Linked DNA regions of Arabidopsis thaliana. The protein of the gene in region 1 interacts with the protein of each later gene in a biochemical or structural test. Each region holds a gene or a part of one and is shown on either strand. Other genes may lie near its edges. The genes, in order: LOB, AT2G42300, BEE1 and BEE2.

The links.
Region 2: the proteins of LOB (region 1) and AT2G42300 form a complex in vitro, tested with the Arabidopsis thaliana proteins (one study listed by BioGRID).
Region 3: the proteins of LOB (region 1) and BEE1 form a complex in vitro, tested with the Arabidopsis thaliana proteins (one study listed by BioGRID).
Region 4: the proteins of LOB (region 1) and BEE2 form a complex in vitro, tested with the Arabidopsis thaliana proteins (one study listed by BioGRID).

Annotation. Positions count from the first base shown.
Region 1 is NC_003076.8:25,308,022-25,312,562, forward strand, and holds LOB (Lateral organ boundaries (LOB) domain family protein), read right to left. Parts: upstream 2,999-4,541; 5' UTR 2,654-2,998; intron 1,909-2,653; exon of another isoform or gene 1,779-1,908; intron 1,282-1,778; 5' UTR 1,263-1,281; coding exon 702-1,262; 3' UTR 525-701; downstream 1-524. UniProt on the Arabidopsis thaliana protein: Not known; ectopic expression of LOB leads to alterations in the size and shape of leaves and floral organs and causes male and female sterility.
Region 2 is NC_003071.7:17,618,970-17,625,390, forward strand, and holds AT2G42300 (basic helix-loop-helix (bHLH) DNA-binding superfamily protein), read left to right. Parts: upstream 1-1,925; 5' UTR 1,926-2,572; coding exon 2,573-3,061; intron 3,062-3,144; coding exon 3,145-3,258; intron 3,259-3,339; coding exon 3,340-3,405; coding exon of another isoform or gene 3,406-3,417; exon of another isoform or gene 3,418-4,471; coding exon 4,472-4,540; intron 4,541-4,664; coding exon 4,665-4,736; coding exon of another isoform or gene 4,737-4,751; exon of another isoform or gene 4,752-5,492; coding exon 5,493-5,666; 3' UTR 5,667-5,883; downstream 5,884-6,421. Other genes in the region: AT2G42290 (Leucine-rich repeat protein kinase family protein), read right to left, coding at 1-503; AT2G42310 (ESSS subunit of NADH:ubiquinone oxidoreductase (complex I) protein), read left to right, coding at 6,282-6,421.
Region 3 is NC_003070.9:6,329,374-6,334,386, reverse strand, and holds BEE1 (BR enhanced expression 1), read right to left. Parts: upstream 2,990-5,013; 5' UTR 2,924-2,989; coding exon 2,567-2,923; intron 2,464-2,566; coding exon 2,338-2,463; intron 2,237-2,337; coding exon 2,171-2,236; intron 1,741-2,170; coding exon 1,672-1,740; intron 1,388-1,671; coding exon 1,310-1,387; coding exon of another isoform or gene 1,268-1,309; exon of another isoform or gene 898-1,267; coding exon 811-897; 3' UTR 531-810; downstream 1-530. Other genes in the region: AT1G18390 (Serine/Threonine kinase family catalytic domain protein), read right to left, coding at 4,452-4,967. UniProt on the Arabidopsis thaliana protein: Positive regulator of brassinosteroid signaling.
Region 4 is NC_003075.7:17,241,917-17,245,825, forward strand, and holds BEE2 (BR enhanced expression 2), read left to right. Parts: upstream 1-1,666; 5' UTR 1,667-1,782; coding exon 1,783-2,073; intron 2,074-2,158; coding exon 2,159-2,338; intron 2,339-2,430; coding exon 2,431-2,637; intron 2,638-2,721; coding exon 2,722-2,862; intron 2,863-2,953; coding exon 2,954-3,049; 3' UTR 3,050-3,380; downstream 3,381-3,909. Other genes in the region: AT4G36550 (ARM repeat superfamily protein), read right to left, coding at 3,484-3,909. UniProt on the Arabidopsis thaliana protein: Positive regulator of brassinosteroid signaling.

The DNA.
Region 1 (4,541 bases):
ATAATAAAGCAGAGACCTTCAATTATTAGCACCCTTAAGTTCTCTGAAACATGCATCCACGCAAACTACAATCCTAGTTTAGGTATTGAACCCAAGGCAATAACAATCATCACCATATTATATATCTAATCATAGGTATTTTTAAAATAATAAAATTCACCAATGCCACTATAGAAACATACCTTTTTCCGTTTCGTAATTAAATGAATATATCTTGCTTACCACAGAATACCATTTTATATTTCAACGTATATTGTAAATAAGATTTTAAATATTTAATGATATAGCATTAAATAAATAAATAAAATTTATACTAAAACTGATATTTTTGTTATTGATATTCATTCTAATTATTGAAATCATTAAAAATAACTAAAAATGAAACGGATAAAACTATATCATGTTTGGCACCTAACATTACAAAAACAATCAAGAAAATAATTATCTAGTAAAATATATTTGTTCAAGTATCATAGCTTAGTTATTGAAAAACATACACTAATAATAATCAAAAACCAAAATATATATACCTCATCAATCATCATAAATAAATAAGAACAGTCCATGCATTTATAATTCGCTAGGAAATAATATCCCACACACAGTCCATGCATTAAACAAATAATATCGTATTCGTACCACACACACATAAATATAGAAAGAGAGAGATGAGAGGATGAATACTCATAATTTATAAACTCTCACATGTTACCTCCTTGCTGATCATGACCATTGTTCCAAGGAAGAAAAGTCCCATACGACCCTCCGGTGCCACGTGGCATCTGATTCATCACCGGACTTGCCCCCGAAAGCCTATAAACCGGGTTCAAGGGAGGCAGTTGCTGCGACGGAAGCGGCTGAGGCTGAAAAACCAAGTCCACGACGTTGCCAGGTGCTCCGGCGGCTGATGTGGACAAACCATAATGTGCCAAGTCAGCATTAGCTGCGTCGAGCTCCTTCTGAAGCCTATGGACTTGTCTCTGGAGATAAGAGATGGCTCCGACGCAGCCATAGACGGGGTCACGGACACGTGCCTCGGCCTCATAGGCTAAGGAGTTGACTGCGTCTTCACGTTGGTGAGGGAGGAGCTCGTTGAGGAGCTTCGTGACGTTGCTTGCTCCAAAGATTTTGTGGACGTTGGCGAATTTGTGTGGCTCCTCCGGTGGAAAATATGGCGCGAATATGCATCCCGGCATGCATTTCCGGCGAAGAAACTTGCACGCCGCGCATGGTGAGTTGTATGAGTTTGATGACGACGCCATTTGTTTTTCTTCTTACAACCTAATATTGTGTTTTAAGAACAAAATACAATTAGAAAGAAAAGTTAAACACACACATATATAGTATGTTTATACATACGATCTACATATATATAATTTAAATTTGCCAGTAAATGATAAAACTCCTACGTTTCGTTTAGAAGTCATTTTTCTATAATTTCTATATTGCAACTTTTTCAAATTTTATATTGAATTTTTTTATTTCCTTCTTTCATTGAATTCCTAATTATCTTTCCATTGATTTTCCCTTTCCACGTTTTTCTTGATGTATATGTAAAATGTCCACCATCAAATCTAATGAAAGGAAAAACATACTATTTACAAAACCTAAATGTCTTTAGATTGAATATTAATTGAACACGTTAGGAACACAGAGATAATCCGGACGTGCTGGAACTATAACTTTAGTTTCACATAACGTTTTTTTTTTCAATTAATTTAGTCTACACTAGTTTTCAAGTAGACAAATATCACTTCACATATTTAATCCCCTATTACCTTCTTAATTTATCTCTACGAATATATTTAACTAACTTCTCCGAATCTTCCTTAACAGAGTATACACATACCCACACTCGCCTTTAATTCTAGCTAATATATGATGTCATACATGTCGATCAGTTATTCCCTGAACAAAACAAAACCAAAAAAAAAAAGCAATCTTATTTTTAAAATGTCAGATGAGTTTGTGTATCCCTCTGTATCTATATCAATCTTACATATAAATACTACATATTTTTGTTCAATGCATATCTACTTCATATTTTACCAAAATATATCAAACAGTTTTTCTTTGTAATTCAATTGTGTCCTGATGTGTTTTACCATCTTCTTCATCTTCCTCTCACTCTCTCTTCAACCCTAGCTTTGTTAAAAGAAACTATAACTTAAAAGGGAAACTCAGTGAGGATTTTATAATTTCTATTTGTATGCCTCAAAACTAAACTTGGTCAAAGAAATTTCAAAAATTGTCTTTACTAAGTAAGATAAACTCTCTCTTTTTCTCCGAGATGAAGCAATTCTACTGACCTCAAGTCTATACCAATTTGGATTTGTTTGTAAACTTTAGATCTGACCTTAATTATGTCAACTCAAAGAGATCACGAAGGTTTAATTACACGTGTTTACTTATATCCTTGTCTCATTTGCTATAATTAATTAGATAACCTTGTTAAGTCTTTATTATAGTAGAAATTCAAAAGGAAAGTGACAGAAGGATCAAAGTGAATATGTGTATGAGCAACATAGAACATAGAACATGGAGCATAGAAAATAAAATTAAACATAGATTAGAAGACTTGTTTTGATAATCGGGAGCTATGCATAAATCCAGGGATTTATTAAGATACATACATCAAAGTATATACATATACCTGCCTTTAGATCTTTAGGTTCTTTGAGGATCTTGTATCTTTCTTCCTCTTTCAAGGGCTTTTACCTTACCCTTTGAATTTCGCTTCCAAAGTAGATAGAGTAGGCTTAACTCTTTAGTCAATGAGAGGGATATATTAGGGTTTTAGCCCTCTCAAAGAAAGAGGAAACCCTAATGTCAAGAAGAATTGAGAAAGGTTTGTATAGAAGCTGAGAATTTAAAGAAACCAAACAAACAAATAAAAAGGAAAAAATAGAGAAATGTTTTAGTGGAGAGGAAGGAGAAAGAGCAAAAGACAAAGTGTAATAATAACAAATGAACAATTAATAAACAGGAAGAGGAGGAGAGGGTATGTCCCTTAAAGAATGACTATGACATTTCATCTCAAGAATATTAGTAATATCATTTCACTGTGCTTACTTTTGTCTCCCATTAGATTATTTTTTAAAACCTTAGCTTTTGTGAATTTTTCTTCATACATTTAATGTTAACAATATTCCCTAACAGTCCCGAAATCAACCCTAAGCTAACTAATCAATTATCATTGTGTGTATATAAATATCACTATATATGATCTCTCTATATATACCTGTCTCACGCTGATGGCCAAAATTTGGAACCTCAAGAAAACCCTAAGCATCTCTCTATATCAATCTCGACTTTAATTGAATATCATAACAAACCCTGATTTGCAATGAGAACTAAAGAACATATTATATGACTGTTTTTGGCAGAACAAACTATACAATTAATATATAGCGGTATAAATTTGGTGACTGGTAACTTGTTCTCTTGTTCATACCGTTGTGAAAAAAGCTTGACATCCTAAAATTAACAGCAATGAATTGAACCTTTTTTTCAGGTGTGGCAAAATAATTCTTCAATTTAATTTAATCGAACAACAGTTAATAGGAACAAGAATAAACTCTTGAGACCTCAAAGTAGCTACGTAGAGACAGGAAATCAGTAAAAGTCAAGCGATTTCATGTGAACGATCAAGTCAAGTTTAAATAGGTTTTGTAAAATCAGAACTTTTGTAATGGAAAATAAACTATGAGGGGGTCCGAAGATTTTTGAAGCTATAGCTAGCTAGGGTTAGTATCATACAACAGTTACTTGTGTTAGATTATATATTATTGGAAGTGACAACCGATTGAGACATTTTTCATAATGTCTTCTTCTTTTTATTTCGCACCAATTCTTGGTCTAATGTAGAATTCAAATGGTTCAATATTGAAGATATATTAGACTGGCAAAATTCAAATGCAAATGTAGATCATAAATAGTTACCTAATGGAAAAGTAAATGAGATAATTTTCTTATTACTATCAGAAAATTGTGGTAAATTAACCTTTTGAATATTTTCAAGATCATTATTTGTTGGTCTAAGTTATGATGGTGGTTAGTGGTGGGAACTTAGTAATTTACTAAAGTGAAGCATCTATAGGCTTTATCACCAAACTAATGTCTTCATATTTTTCTTAAGATATTAATTTTGTGACTAATATATATCGGGATTAGGGTTCGAAAATAGAGGTCCTATTCTTTTCTAAAAGAGGAAACTAGTCTCGTACTTGGAAAGTAGAGCTTCTCTCTCGTTATGATACAAAAATTGACTGATTATTCAAAGTTTTCAATGTTATTGATTGCGCATTCTGATATGATAGATAATAAGTAACTATATCGAATAAGTTGAAAGTTGTTTGGAGAGCTATGATATGGTTTATTCGTTCCGTCCGACGTTGTAAATTCAACACTAAGCCTACATATTACAGAAGAAACCATAACAAAGTTTACCATCAAAAGATTAAAGTAATCGATTAGAATGGGTATTGATCTATATATATAGCCCTTCAATATATATAGAGAGGTTGCATATAAAATGATAC
Region 2 (6,421 bases), on another chromosome or scaffold:
GTTCCGACGAGGCTTCCGAGTTCAGTGAGTGACTCAGGGAGTGAACCGTTGAGATGATTGGAGGAGAAATCAAGGTGGTTGAGTGACTTCATGGACTTGATTTGGGCCGGTATTGGGCCGGAGAGTGAGTTGTGAGAGAGATCGATGTACCGGAGCTTGGTTGCTTCGAAGAGACGAACCGGTATGGTTTTAGAGAAATTGTTGTGAGCTAGATCAAGCCGGTTTAGCGAGTTGAGTAAACCGAGTTCTGATGGAATGTAACCGGAGAGACTTTTTCCGAAGAGTACAAGAGTTGTGACTCGGCCGTTTGTGCAGACGATTCCGGACCAATGGCAAGGAGTCGGGTCGGATTCAGACCAGTGGGTCATTACTCGGGTCGGGTCGTTATCGACGGCGGATTTGAGAGCTAGGAGAGATAAACCGTCGGAATTGAGAGAGGAGCAAAAGCTCATGCAGAGAAAGATGGAAGAAACAACAAGTGAAAGAATCGATGGTAACTTCATTTTTTGCTTAGGATATAGGAATCTTGAAACTTTTTGGTTGTTAAAGAAGCTACAAATTACAGATGATTCATATAGTGTGAGGCAACGAGAAGTTGCAGAGGAAAAACGGTAAACAGTGAAGACGAAGGAGAAGAATAATGGGAGATTTGACCGAGGTATGATTCTTTTATGGTTTCATGTTAGCAACGTGGTGTAATGTAGTCATGATCAATTTTTTGAATTCTTGTCCATATACTATGGTTTGAAATTTTAATAATATATACACTACAGTTCTAATTAAAAATGTGATATATTGGGATTTGCGTTTTGGGTTTTTGACATTTTGTGGTTATTTTTGAAACTTTTTGAAGTTTAGTTATTGATTGATGCAGGTGGGTTGTTGTTACATTTTTAATTTGTGTGTATCCGTTGGTGATATCTAGGGTCACTGGATTTTTATAGCATTAAAACTATATATAGGTATCAAAAAAAAAAGTTACAACAAATTTGGGATACAAAAAATAAACAAAGTGTTATCTTAAATGCTATAGTCTATAGAATCTTAACTCGTATAGGACCTCTTCACTCTTGAGCCATGAAAAAACTGTACAGTCCCACTGGGTCGATAATTGTTTTACTTTTACAAGATTCAGCAGTAACTAAAAAAAGGATTAAAATATGTTTAAGAATAATTGAAAATAATCGAACTCGACCTATTGCATATGAATTTGAATTGGATAGAGGATGTCATATTTATTCAAATTAAAGGAGGGAAGAGACGGTAGAGAGTGGATTGTGTCAGAGAAAAATCATTAACCAACCGACAAAGTAACCACACAAAGATGCATTTGAAAATATGCCACTTTTGGCTCCTCTACTCCTAGTCTTAATGGGCAATTCCGAAATATACACGAAGAGTCACAAGTCCCATTGTTGTTGGGTTAGCACTTTGTCACGGCCCAAATTCAACTTATTCACAACATCAAATAAATATATGCATCATATCATCACATCCGACTTTTGTTAACAATTACTTTTTTCAGTTAAAGAACTTTCAAGAGGAAATAGTAGTACCTTAAAATCCTACAAAACCTTGTCGTGCAAGAACTGGGAGGGCTACAAATTGCGGTCAATGTACGCAAACATCTTACCGTTTTTGGTACAAACACTAGAACTCCAATGCAGTGAGTGAGATGGGCCAATTTTGGCAATCTCAATCAACGGTCCATGTGGCCCAATAAATCACTAAAAACGGCCGAATTTTTAGATCCATGTAACTTAAATAATTGGTGGGGACGGAAAGTCTTGTCGTTTTCATTTATTCGAGTGTGGCACTCTGATTCATCTCAAGCTTATTTTTTATAAAAAGAGTAATTTTAGAGGCTGAACAATAACGACCTTGAACAAAATAAAATAAAATAAGAGGGTGAACAACGACCAGTCAAAATTTGAAAATTTACTCACCAGAGTCTATAAAAATTAAAAAGGAAAGGAAAAAAAAAGAATGAATCATAGTGAAATGACCTTATTTATGGCTCCAACTATAGTGATTAGTAACCACTAAACCAGAAAAAAACAAGTGACCCATTACACAGGGATTAAAAATACTACCGAATAAAGCCCAATAGGCCCAATTCAAAAGCGTCTCTCTATCATCGTCTCTCCAAACCCCATAAATTGGATATTTCCTTTCTCTAAAAATTTGGCTTTATTAACAGACGCACTCCAAAGCTAACGTTGCTTTCTTCCCACTCCAAATGGCTCTTGTGCTCTCAGAACACACACAGATATAATAAACTCTTAACGAAGAAGAAGACTTTTTCTTTTCTTGAGCAAGCTCTGAGAAACTCACAGAGAGGGACAGAGAGAGAAATATTTCATTCGCTACTCTCTTTAATACCGCCATTGATGCAACCTCCTTCGCGTTAACTGTCAAAATACTCCCCAACTGACAAAAATTAAATTCCTTTTTTTCTCTCTCGATTTTAAAAGCTCTAAAAGGAACGAGTTGATCAAGTCGGTCGGTTCTGGTTATCACTGAATTTCATTCAACTCGGTTTATTCCGGTTTAAGTGTGATTTTCCCGGCTAATGGATCTGACCCAAGGTTTCAGAGCTAGATCCGGCGTTGTTGGGCCGGTGGCCGGACTAGAATCTCTCAATTTCAGCGACGAATTTCGGCACTTAGTGACGACGATGCCTCCGGAGACTACTGGCGGCTCCTTCACGGCTTTACTCGAGATGCCTGTGACTCAGGCCATGGAGCTTCTCCATTTCCCAGATTCATCGTCTTCTCAGGCCAGAACCGTTACCAGTGGTGATATTTCTCCTACCACTCTTCACCCTTTCGGGGCTTTGACTTTTCCTTCTAACTCGCTTCTCTTGGACCGCGCCGCTCGTTTCTCGGTGATTGCTACAGAGCAAAACGGTAATTTTTCCGGCGAGACTGCTAACTCTTTACCTTCTAATCCCGGCGCGAATCTGGACAGAGTCAAAGCCGAGCCTGCTGAGACCGATTCAATGGTGGAGAATCAGAACCAGAGCTACTCTTCTGGAAAAAGGAAAGAACGCGAGAAGAAGGTGATACCAATTGTTCACACAATCAAACTTGTTAATTAAACAAGAGAGATTAGTCCCTAATTTCTTTATTCCTTAATTTCTAGGTCAAAAGCTCGACGAAGAAGAACAAGAGCTCCGTGGAGTCAGACAAGTTGCCATATGTTCATGTCAGAGCTCGTCGTGGTCAAGCTACTGATAACCATAGCTTAGCAGAGAGAGTAATTCACAATCTCACAGACATGGTTTGTATTAATTAATTAGTGGCAATATGCTAATTAATCATTAACTCTTGATTATAGGCAAGAAGGGAGAAGATAAACGCACGAATGAAGCTGCTACAGGAACTGGTCCCAGGCTGTGATAAGGTTTGTCTTTAGATAATTGACCTTTTAATCAAAAAGCTAATCAATAATTAGATCTTCATTTGTGCTTAAAGACAGAATCTTTCTTTATTAAGACCAACCCCCAAAAAGTGATTTTTTTTCTATAATTTGATCATGTGGTTTGATAAGGGTTTAGTGCTAAATTCCTCTTATATGAAAAAGGTTTTGTGGTGTGACAAAGAACAAAACCACTAGTTTGGTAATTTCACTGCCTTGAAGATATGTAAACTTTATTTTCGTGTGGGGAAGAATATCTCACGGGTCACAACCATTTAGGTAAACTAGTAGTAGTAATACGGAAGTGATGTGACATTGCTCAATAGATTCTTGTTTCTTCTTCCCAAAGTGTATTCATTTGAGCTTGAAGCTTACTCCATAAATGCCGATAATGGATTATATGATGTGGGAATGCTAGCTGGACTGTTCCCTTAAGGTTTTGGGTAGAGGGGACAGATTTTGGTGGATAGATCAAGGTCAGACTGTGTTTTGGGGTCCATCTTTTGATAATAAGTGGCAAAAGTTGCAGGCTTTCTATGGAGGGTGAGGAGTGTAGTATCGTCTCTAATAAGTTTGGTATCTATCAAGTAGAAAGAGGGTGAGGAGTGTAGTATCGTCACTAATATTGTTATATGCTTTGAGTCCCACAATACCTAATTGGTTGGATACATGATGTGACACTCCTGCAGACAGCTAACTAATCCATAGATATCTTGGAATTTAGCTGCAATTATTGGTGGAAGGAGATGATGATAAGTGACAACTCTTTAAGAGTTTGTCAAATTTGTGGGGTTTTGGGACTTGATTGTTTGTTTCATGAAATCCTGAGAAATCCTGAATCCATGTTTGTAAACTACAGATGTTGCTCTGATTCGCTTTTCTGGCATATTATCTTGAAAAGAGTAGAGTTGTTGATTTTATAGAAGCCGTTATACATATGCAACTTAGGATTAAGGCTCATTTTCACACTGCTTCGTTAACCACATATATTTCTAAAAACTATGCCTTGTTCTTCTTTCTTTCTGACTGACCAGAAAGCTTTGGCCTGCAGATTCAGGGCACTGCATTGGTTCTGGATGAAATCATTAACCATGTGCAAACTTTACAGCGTCAAGTGGAGGTAGGACTTCTTGCACTATCTTTTGTTGTTGTTTACCTGAAGGTCCTGAACTGAAACACTAAGCTACACAATGTATGATAAAATTGGTGCCACAGTGTCACATAACCGTTTTTCTTCTTTTCAGATGCTATCTATGAGACTTGCTGCAGTAAACCCCAGAATCGACTTCAATCTAGACAGCATACTGGCTTCAGAGGTAAGTATCAACTAATCATATAGGAGAATTAAGGTTGCATGTGATCTTCTTTTACAATAAAAACTCTTAAATTCAATGTTCACTGGGAAAAACTTCCCTTTGACCATGTTACTCGTTTAAGTAACCATAGGGATTATGTTTCTTTGAGTAACCTTTTTAAGTTGTATCACAAAAAGAGAAACTTTTGGATATTTATTGATCCAACATTAATCGACCCTATTCTAGACTAGGCTTAAAGAAGAAGAACAACGTGGGGGAAATAAATACTTAGACCTTACAAAAATGCAGTACAAACAGTGAGATCAAGGACTCTAAAAAATCTTTTGAAAGGACTCATTAGTTCTCTCAATTATATCATACAGAGAGATAAAAGTGGTCAGAAACACGGACCACCTTTGTTCTATGGTCTATGATGCTGTCTTTTTTTTTTATCCTTGCACAATTATTTTTCTGTGGGTCTCAGTCTTAAGTTATTGTTGCTTCAAGTTTCACCTATCTAATCTAATAATCAACTTTTGTTTCTCTGCAAATAACTTTCTTATTAAATGACCTTCTTCTTTTACAGCTTGTACACCATTTAAGAACCAGACCCCACTCATTAAAAACCTTGTTCTTCTAGGATGAGTTACAGTAAAATAGAGCTGGCTTGTTGACTAGATTGAGAATCTAGGATGTTGGATCAATCATCTCTAAGAGAAGCTGATATGTTTTACAAATTGTGTTAATAATGATGAGGTCCAATTATCTTTTCTGCAGAACGGCTCTCTTATGGATGGTAGCTTCAATGCAGAGTCTTATCATCAGCTGCAACAATGGCCTTTCGACGGCTACCACCAGCCGGAATGGGGAAGAGAAGAAGATCATCATCAAGCCAATTTCTCAATGGGTTCAGCTACTTTACACCCAAATCAGGTGAAAATGGAGCTCTAAGTTGGAAACAGTTTGACATGCTTATGTGTATATATAAGAGTTATATATATCTACTAAAGTTTCGATTGTTGAATTAGAGGTAGAAAATGGTTATGATTGTTTCAGGTCTTTGTTCATGGCCTTTCTATATTTACTAGATTCCTCAATGTAGAATTCAGAATGTCTAAATTGCGTTTCCCTTGAGAGAAGTATATGAAGATTTGATATGTTACTGAGCAATTACGACGTCGTACACGAATACTATCATCCAATACTGCTTAACCGACTAGTGTGACCAATTCAATTTGGTCTACCTAAATTATAACCAAACTGCCAGAACCGATTTGGACTACAAAATTTCCAGTCAAACCGTAAAACAAAATGAGAACTGAGAATACCAAGTCATACCGAACATAAAAGAGAGTCAATTTCGTATATAAATCTGTTAGACCGGATAATCTAAGCTGAAACCATTATATAATTCCCAATTAAACTGACAATTTCAATAAACCAAAATTGAAATTCTCGGTTCGGTTCGAATGAAACCTTTTGTAGGTCGTGGTCGTATATAGTTGGACACTTGACAAATCTGAGCATTTCCTTTTTGCTTACAGCGGAAATATCTGAACCAACGCGATGCCGTCGACGCAGTCCTTGACCGTCGCAGCGAAGACGCTACGAAATCGGATCTTCTCTAGGTCTGGATCTACATCCGCCGGTCCGAGTCGGTGGGCGACGCCAGGTCACGAGGAGCGACCTAAGGGTTACTTTATGAA
Region 3 (5,013 bases), on another chromosome or scaffold:
TAACTCCTCTTCGTTACCAAACCTTGCGCAACTTGCCTCTTCCAGTTTATCGTATATGTAACTATGCCTTTCTCGCTGAAAAAGGAAAATGTTTTTAGTAACCAAAAGCAAATTACATATGAATGGAAATATAATCCCTTAACAAGAACATATCGTTTTATATTATAAACTAATCTTCATTTTTAGTAATTCTATAGCCGAAGCCGTTTTTAACCCACTTTACGTAGGAAAGTGAAGTGGAACTCTAGACATCAAAAGCACATGCATGTCTGTAATCAGACTAAGAACTCTCGACCCTAAAATTAATAAACTAAAATCAATATTTAAACCGACTGGTAACGCTCATTTCTTTTTGTTATAAAGACTAATCACATTTCATTGAAGATTTGGTAATATATACAATTTACAATTGATTTCTCTCTTCCCATCATCGTCAATTCACTCATCAACACTTTGACATATGAGCTAATTCATCCATGATTTATAACTTCATTTGCAGAAACAAAATAAAAAAATTCTGTTGAATTTTATTTCTGATCATTTCATAACTTAAGAGGACAATTACATAAGAGGAAAAGGAAAAAGGTGCCAAGCAAACGAAATAGCAAAGCGAAAAGGGAGAGGACAACTGAGATATTTACATGACAATTATAAGTCACCAATAAATTTATATCGTCGAAATTACAAGTATACAGATTACAAATATTATCCCAAGTTGGGTCGTATATATGACATATCGCATCCAAATAAATAGAAGAATAATTTCGAAAACAATAAAAAAGAAGGAAAAGAGAAAAGAGAAAACAAAAGTCAAAGGGACCATGTTGATAAATGGAAGACAGGACTCCCATCTCTTGTTTGTCTCCCCATCTCCACTGTCTCACGTGCCTTTGCTCTCTGCCAATTGTATTCCATTCATATTATTCAATACTAATAGAAATACTTTATCACGTTAAAATAAAGTAATTGTCATAACAACAACTAGTTAGACTTAAACCATGCAAATATAATGCCAAAAAAAAAGAGACTACTTAAACCAATAAACCATACAAGATCAATTATGCAAAGGCTGGATTTGACCTGTCGAACATATTTTAATTGCGGGTCATATAGTCCGCGTGATCATATATTATAGTCTAATAAGATTGAATCTAAACTACAAACACTTGTATTTTTGAATAAATCTTTGTAGAACCGACTCGATCAAAACATACCGGACCCATTACAACATCTCTACCAGACTACCACTAATTAATTATATATATGCTTATCTTAAGAATTGAAAAACATTATTAGAATGTTCTAGTACCTGCATGGAATCAACTGCATCTGTCTCTGAGTTAAAGTCATAAAACGAACTTGCTGCAGTGAGTTTCATCGAGAGGAACTGAAATCCACAAAAAACATGAAACAAAATTGAGTAATTTATAAAATTAAAGCTTGTGTTTTGGAAGTTTTTTAAAGTGTGTGGTAAGATTTTCGTTTTTTTTTTGTAATTTTCGAATATCTAAGATTTGCCGTGTTTCGGAAAGTACTACTAAAGTAGGTATTTACCGAACCTCCCATCTCATGAAACCTCCATTTTCTAGTTTTTTTTTTCTTTCTCCAAAATACAAGAAGACAAAGTCTTATTGATATATGTAGTTTATGATTACAACTTAAATTATTTACCTCGACTTGATTCTGTAGAGACTGGACATAATTAATTATCTCGTCAAGCATCGTAGCCATTCCCATAGCCTGCACCCACCAAACATACACTTTCATTATAAGAAGTAAGCACCACTAAATCAATAGAAAATCACATCACTTTTTCTACAATTTTTTTTCTGAGTTCTTTGTAAACAAAAAAAACAAAAAAAAATCCGAAGAACAATTTTCGGAAAATATTATGAGCGGTATCAAAGAAAAAAGCTAAAATCACACTCATGCATGTTAAAAATACTTTTGGATACATATGTTCTTGTTTAACTAAAAGTATCACTTTTATCATAAAATGCTTAAATTTGATTCAAGTATAATTAGTGACAATTAATGCCGATGATGACCTTTTCATATGCTATTTATTGTTTAATGGCCATTAGTTTCTATTTTGATTACAAATATATTAAAAAAGAAGTAATGAAAAGTTGAAAATGTTAAACTATTATATTTATCTTTGCATTATTACCTTATAACATCCGGGCACCATATCTTGCAAGCATCTTAATCTCTCGTTTATTTTCCCTCGCCGAACCTGAAATTTTGATATAGAGTGTAGACATGTATATAAATTTAAATGAATACACCACGTTTATAAAAAAAATGAATTTATATAGACAATTTAAGCAATTTTACCCGTTCTGCTAAGCTGTGGCTATCAGTGGCTTGGCCTCTTCTGGCTCTCACATGAACAACTTCTCTCTCTTTCTCGTCTTCTTCTTCCTTCTTCTTCTTCAACCTCTTACCTCTTCTCAAAGAACCCTAGATATTTTTTAGACAATAAAAGTAATTATTTTAAACGAACTTTTTAATGATAAGTTATGAAAATGATAAGATAATTAGCTAGGGTTTCGAGATCAATTACTGTTTCAGTGGCAATAACATTCGTATTATCGGAGACGCCGCTAGTCTCTGATGAAGACAAAGTAGGTAACAAAGCTTTTCTCTTCTTGGTCTCATCGACGATGTTGTGATCACTATGGAGGAAACTTGAAGTTGAAGAGAAATTGTTACTACTGTCTGGAGAGTTTCCGGGAAAGTGAAGTAATTGTTGTTGATGATGATGAAGGAAGAGCGATTCGAGAGAAGTAGAGGAAGGATGAAATGTTTGAAAATGAAGGTTACTGTTGTTGTTGTTTAGATCTGCAGCTTGAGTTATGGAAGAATATATATCCATGGCTATTGTCTGAAAATCAGAAGAAAGATTCTCGAAATTTGCCATAATATAATGAATTGAGATATGATCTTCTTGACACTTTTTTTTTTTTTTTTTTCTGACAACTTCTTTAGACTGGTTGATACAAAACTTGAGACTTTTATATTGTTCGATTGGATTTTTTTATTAATTTAATTTATGATTTTAGAAAAAGAAATGTGGAGAAAATTAAGAAAGAAAAAGAGAGAAATAAAGGGAGAGCCACGTGGGCAAGTGAACGTTCTGGGATTTGTGTGTCGGGGAGATATGTCCAAACAAGGAAAAGTAGGACCAATGTTTGGTCGTGGGTTCCATTAGGCTTTCTCTGTTTGCAAGGGGGAAGAACATTTCTAGTCAGTTTGGTGTGAGGTTAAGAACTAGTGGTCTATCTTTAAATTTATTATTAATATTGGGAAGAAAATATTGAAATGGATGTAGCTAGTCAAACTAAGTTGATATCAAAACTTGTTTTAATGAAAACATCCATTAATGTTTTGCATGGAGGGTTTTTTATGTAGGTGTATAGGGTAAGAGATCACATCCATTTGCCAACTTAATTATAACTTCCAAATGGCCAATGCCAATTAATCGACAAAAATACTATAAATATGTGTATGTATAAAAATATAGGGAGATAAACGAAAGTATATATGAAGGTTCTTTTACATAAGTTGACGCCAATTTATGAATCTTTAGTTAAAGTTTAAGTTACCAAATTATTTATATTGGTGAAGACAAATTTTCACTTTAATCGGCATACTAGAGATTTCCTTTGTTTGTCCTTGTGATGATCAAACACATTGAGTTTTAGGAAAGAGTTTTTTTTTTTTTTTTTTTTTCTTCCTTTTAGGAAAGAGTTAGGTTGCAACAAATGTCAATGTTTAGTTGGGCCATTACTATAGATTATCTATTATGTATGGTGGAGGGATTTGATTCACATGCAATTTCATTCATTCAAGACAACTTACTCTTTAACTTGTTCATTAATAGAAGTAGTAAAGCATCCATGCCCAAATTGGTGTGCTTTAATTAGGAAATTTTGGAAACAGAAGTTTTTTTTTTTTTTCTCTGAAAGTGTCTTTCATTAAAACTTCATAGATGCAGGTCTTACATTGTGATTGCAGCAGTGGACTTTCCACTTACATTGGAAACAGAAGATAAGCTCAATATACATATATATATTCTTCTGACGTTAAATTGGTGGATAGTCATCGCCGTCGCTGAGCTGGCGTTACTTAATTACCATCATTATTTTGATGTCTCAAATATTTTTACCTTTTCCGTAAAAAAATAAAATTAACCACTAATAAAAAAATAGTTTCAGTTGGCAGCAAATAGCAATACAAAATTGCTGATTTAGTCCGGTCAGGCCCAATCACGAAGTTTTGTATGTTACGGTCCCTCTCTAGGTGGAATCGGAACAAGATCATCATTATATACATTCCCAAAAATATCATCTAATACAGAACACGAACACCATTCTCTAACTGTTAACTGACAATTTTAAACATACAAATAATAAACACATACAATGTTAGTGGCCGTGCGACTAATTTTACTTACTGTCCCATTTCACAATGACACTATCTGGAGACTGTGCAACCAACGGTCCACTCTTGTTCACATCTACAACATCCATTTCCGAACCAAATCCATTGTTCTGTATCCTCGTCAACGTATCCTGCACGTGCGACATACATGGCCTAAGATCTTTATCCGACTGCAAGCATTGGAACGCCAGCTCAGCGACAGCGATCACCGTCTGTCTCACTCTTGTATCCGTGTCAAACCCAAGTGACGGATCCACCATGTCGCGGAGCTCGTGGTTCTGGATTTTAACGACTGCCATGTTCGAGAGGTTGATCTCTTGGCGCGGTCTTGTGATGTCGACTGCTGGAAGTGAAGAGATAAGCTCCATTAACACTACCGCAAAGCTGTACACGTCGCTTTTGTTTGAGAGTTGATAGCATAAGTGGTAATCCGGGTCGACATATCCCGGAGTTCCTTGTGGAGCGGTAGATACGTGCGTTTTATCCATAGGAAACAGTCTAGAGAGTCCAAAATCCGCAACCTAAAATGTCGAAAACAGTAAAAAAAACACAGAAAGAAGTTAAGAT
Region 4 (3,909 bases), on another chromosome or scaffold:
GACAAGTCGAATCCGCTCGACGAAGCAGAGTGTTTCTGAAAGTTGCGGTTTTTATGGTTTAACGATTAGGCCGGTAATTTCGACTTAGCTAAACCGGCCGGTTCAGCCGTATTTGTCCCAAAGATCCTGATTTTTTACTCATCATTTTGACAAAAGCTGTCAAGTTGATATTATCAAACAGAACTATTGATTTGTACACAACAAGATATTGAAGCACTCTTTCTTAAATTTCATGTTCTCTAACTCTCTTCCTCAGATCTTGTCTCACTGTTGCATAGGTGTGACATTCTTTTGAAGTAAACAGAAATAATTGACGTGGAATGTGATTCCTGTTATCACATAGATCCATCATTAGTGAAAAGAGCAAACAACACAGTTTTGTAAGTAAGCAAATTAGAGACGTGATACACACGATCTAGGGCCTTATACTTTGATGTGACGAATACGAGTGTTCCTTCCGTTTTCGTGATTCGACAAAATGCCTAATTGCAACATGAATGCATTGACACAAACTTCTTTACAAAAGAATACATCCTGAAACCCATTGAATCAAAAACTTTCTAAAACTTTTTTGTGGAAATTGCAAAAAACAACAGATACTCTCAACGTTAAGTATTTTGGCATTTGAAGCATTTACTCTTCTCATCTCATAAGCAGCTTGTTATTGATGTTTCCCAAAGAACCAATGAAATGGAAACCTCAAAGCAACCTGTACGGTGTGTTATTGAAATCGGTCTAATTTTGGATATATTTTTTCAAGTTCTTCAAAAAAAAAAAATCGAAATAGTATTGATTCTCTTGAATTATGTCACGCATTATAGATAATGTATAGATATATAATTAATAGGGAAAAAAAGAAAGTATAGGGACCAAACACTTAGATCAAAAGCAATGGTGTCGCCTACCTTCCTATCACTTATCTTCAAACCCATTTTCTTCTTTAGGTCGCTTATTTTGTGTCCCTATCAGTTATGAATTATAATATGTGATATTATAATATGTCATATATTCATCGAGTTGCCATCTCTCTAATATATGAAATCCACTTAAATTATTGGTGTAATCTATGGATTGATGAAGGGTAGTAATCATACGTCACAAGGATCACGTATAGATTCACAACAAGACATTGAAATGATATCACTCATGATTCAAACCATTGTTTCTATTCATTTGCAAGTTAAGATTCATAATTCACATTCCCCACATTCTCCACCTTCAAGCCTAAGAAAGACCCTCTCTCTCTCTCTCTCTAACAAAACAAATTGGTACAATTAGAAGGTTGTCTTACCAAAAACTCAATGATTTGATTTTACAAAAGAGGATATTTATATGATAATACCCTCATGAACCTTAAGTTTTACAAAGTTTGATTATTGTTGCCAAACAAAAAGATCCTCTCAAAAACTTGAAAGGCCAAAAGGAAAAAAAAAAACACAGAGAAAAGACACAAAAGAGACTAACTTAAGAGACTCCTCATCTCATGTTCATAAGGACATGACCACATGGTAGGTTATGTCAATTAGACCCCACAACTTCTCATCTCACCTTCTTTGTCCCCAACCTCCTCCACTTTTATCAATTTTGTCCCTCTCTCACTAGATTTCGAATCTCATGTGTGTGGGTCAATGTTGCTTTCTATTTAAAGCTAAGAATAATTATATCTAATGGATTACTTTTCTTCCACACATATATAACTTAACTCTCTCTTTTTCTCTTTTGCTTTAACCCCCTCAAAGAAAAGATAAGAGCCTTTTAAAGTTTTTTTTTTACCTTCTCTTCATGGACTTGTCTGTACTTGATAGGCTTAAGTGGCTGCAACAGCAACAAATGGTTTCACCTGAGTTTCTTCAGATACTTGGCTCAGATGGGAGAGAAGAGCTCAAAAGAGTTGAGAGTTACTTGGGAAACAACAATGATGAGCTGCAGAGTTTCAGACATTTTCCCGAATTCGGACCGGATTATGATACTACTGATGGCTGCATTTCTAGGACAAGTAGCTTCCATATGGAGCCAGTGAAGAATAATGGACACAGCAGAGCCATTACCTTGCAGAACAAGAGAAAACCAGAGGTTTGTAGCTCAAGAAAGTATTGAGTATTAGAGTTTAGATTTTGTTTGAAACATTGTTTCTGATCGTTTTAACTATTGGTTTTAGGGTAAGACAGAAAAGAGAGAGAAGAAGAAGATCAAAGCAGAGGATGAAACAGAGCCAAGCATGAAAGGGAAATCAAACATGAGTAACACAGAGACATCTTCAGAAATTCAGAAACCAGATTACATTCATGTTAGGGCTAGACGAGGTGAAGCCACCGACAGACATAGCTTAGCAGAGAGGGTAATTAACTAAAGTGTTGTTGTTAAATAGGTTTCAGAGAAATTACTTTCATTAGAGATTTGAGTGGTTTTATATTTGTGGGATTTTGGCAGGCAAGAAGAGAAAAGATAAGCAAGAAGATGAAATGTCTACAAGATATTGTTCCTGGATGCAACAAAGTTACTGGAAAAGCTGGTATGCTTGATGAGATCATCAACTATGTCCAATCTCTGCAACAACAAGTCGAGTTCTTGTCGATGAAACTCTCTGTCATAAATCCAGAACTTGAGTGTCATATCGATGATTTATCCGCAAAACAGGTGAATAATAGTCAGTTTTCATCCCAAGAACTAACCAAGAGTTTAATTACCGCATTTATTGACTGGTTAAATATTGGAATCTAGTTTCAGGCTTACTTCACAGGTCCTCCAGAAGGTGACTCGAAGCAGTCAATCATGGCGGATTTTCGGTCTTTTCCATTACATCAGCAAGGATCTTTAGATTACTCAGTCATAAACTCAGACCACACCACATCTCTCGGCGCTGTAATAATCTTTATCTCAGACAAATCTTTCATTAGTCCCAATTTTTTGTTACTTGTCCGTGAAGTAACTTATTTCTTATTCTGTTTTGCAGAAAGATCATACATCATCAAGCTGGGAAACTCACTCACAGTGTCTTTACAACAGCTTGAGAACCGATTCTGTTTCCAATTTCTTCAGCCTCAAGTAAAAAAATTAGGGATAGCCTCATTAAAAAAATCGCGGTTTTTTGTTGTTGTCTTATCCATTTATCTATCTTATCTGAAATTTGAACCAAAAGAGACAGAGGAAACCAATCCAAAGATCTTTCTCAATCTATTATCTTCATACAAATATAGTGATTTACATATATTCCAGGGGATATGTATATGTGTAGAAGAAAGAGAAAAAACTCTTGTGGTCATAGCAATTCCTTTTTTTGTACATTGTAGAATCAAACTCTTGTGGTCGTAACAATTATTTCCTTCACAAATTACAACTACACTTGTATTAATGGAGATGCCTTTTGGCCTGGTATCAACATATACAAACCTAAGCCAACAAACAGAGAGCCAAAAAAAAAATCAAAAAAATTTCTCAAAAATTAAGTTAAATCCAGCCTAATAATGTATCTTATGCTTCTTTCTATTTTTTCTTCTTCTTGAGACTGGAGAAATTGAATCCAAAAAGACCAGATTTCTTGGGAGATGGTGTTATTTTAACAGGTTCCGGATGAGTAACTGGAGTAACAACCTGTGAAGTAGGCGAAGCAGTTGTTCTTCCTTCTGGTCTGGAGGAAACTTCTTCTTCTTCTTCTTTGTCGGAATCTACTTCTACAAGAGCTCTAAGTAATTCTGATGCACTCACCTTTACTTCCTCTGTTCCATTGTTGGATATCAAGATTAGAGATGAGTAAATATCAGTTGCTTCTCTCACGACAAGACAGCAATACTCTATCTTCTGCACACAGAGCTGAAGGAGGATGGAGATTGCGTTCTCTTGCTCCTCGGGAACATTTGACTCGAGTAATTCAGCTATGGAAGCTAAACAATCCGGGGTTTCGGTGATACA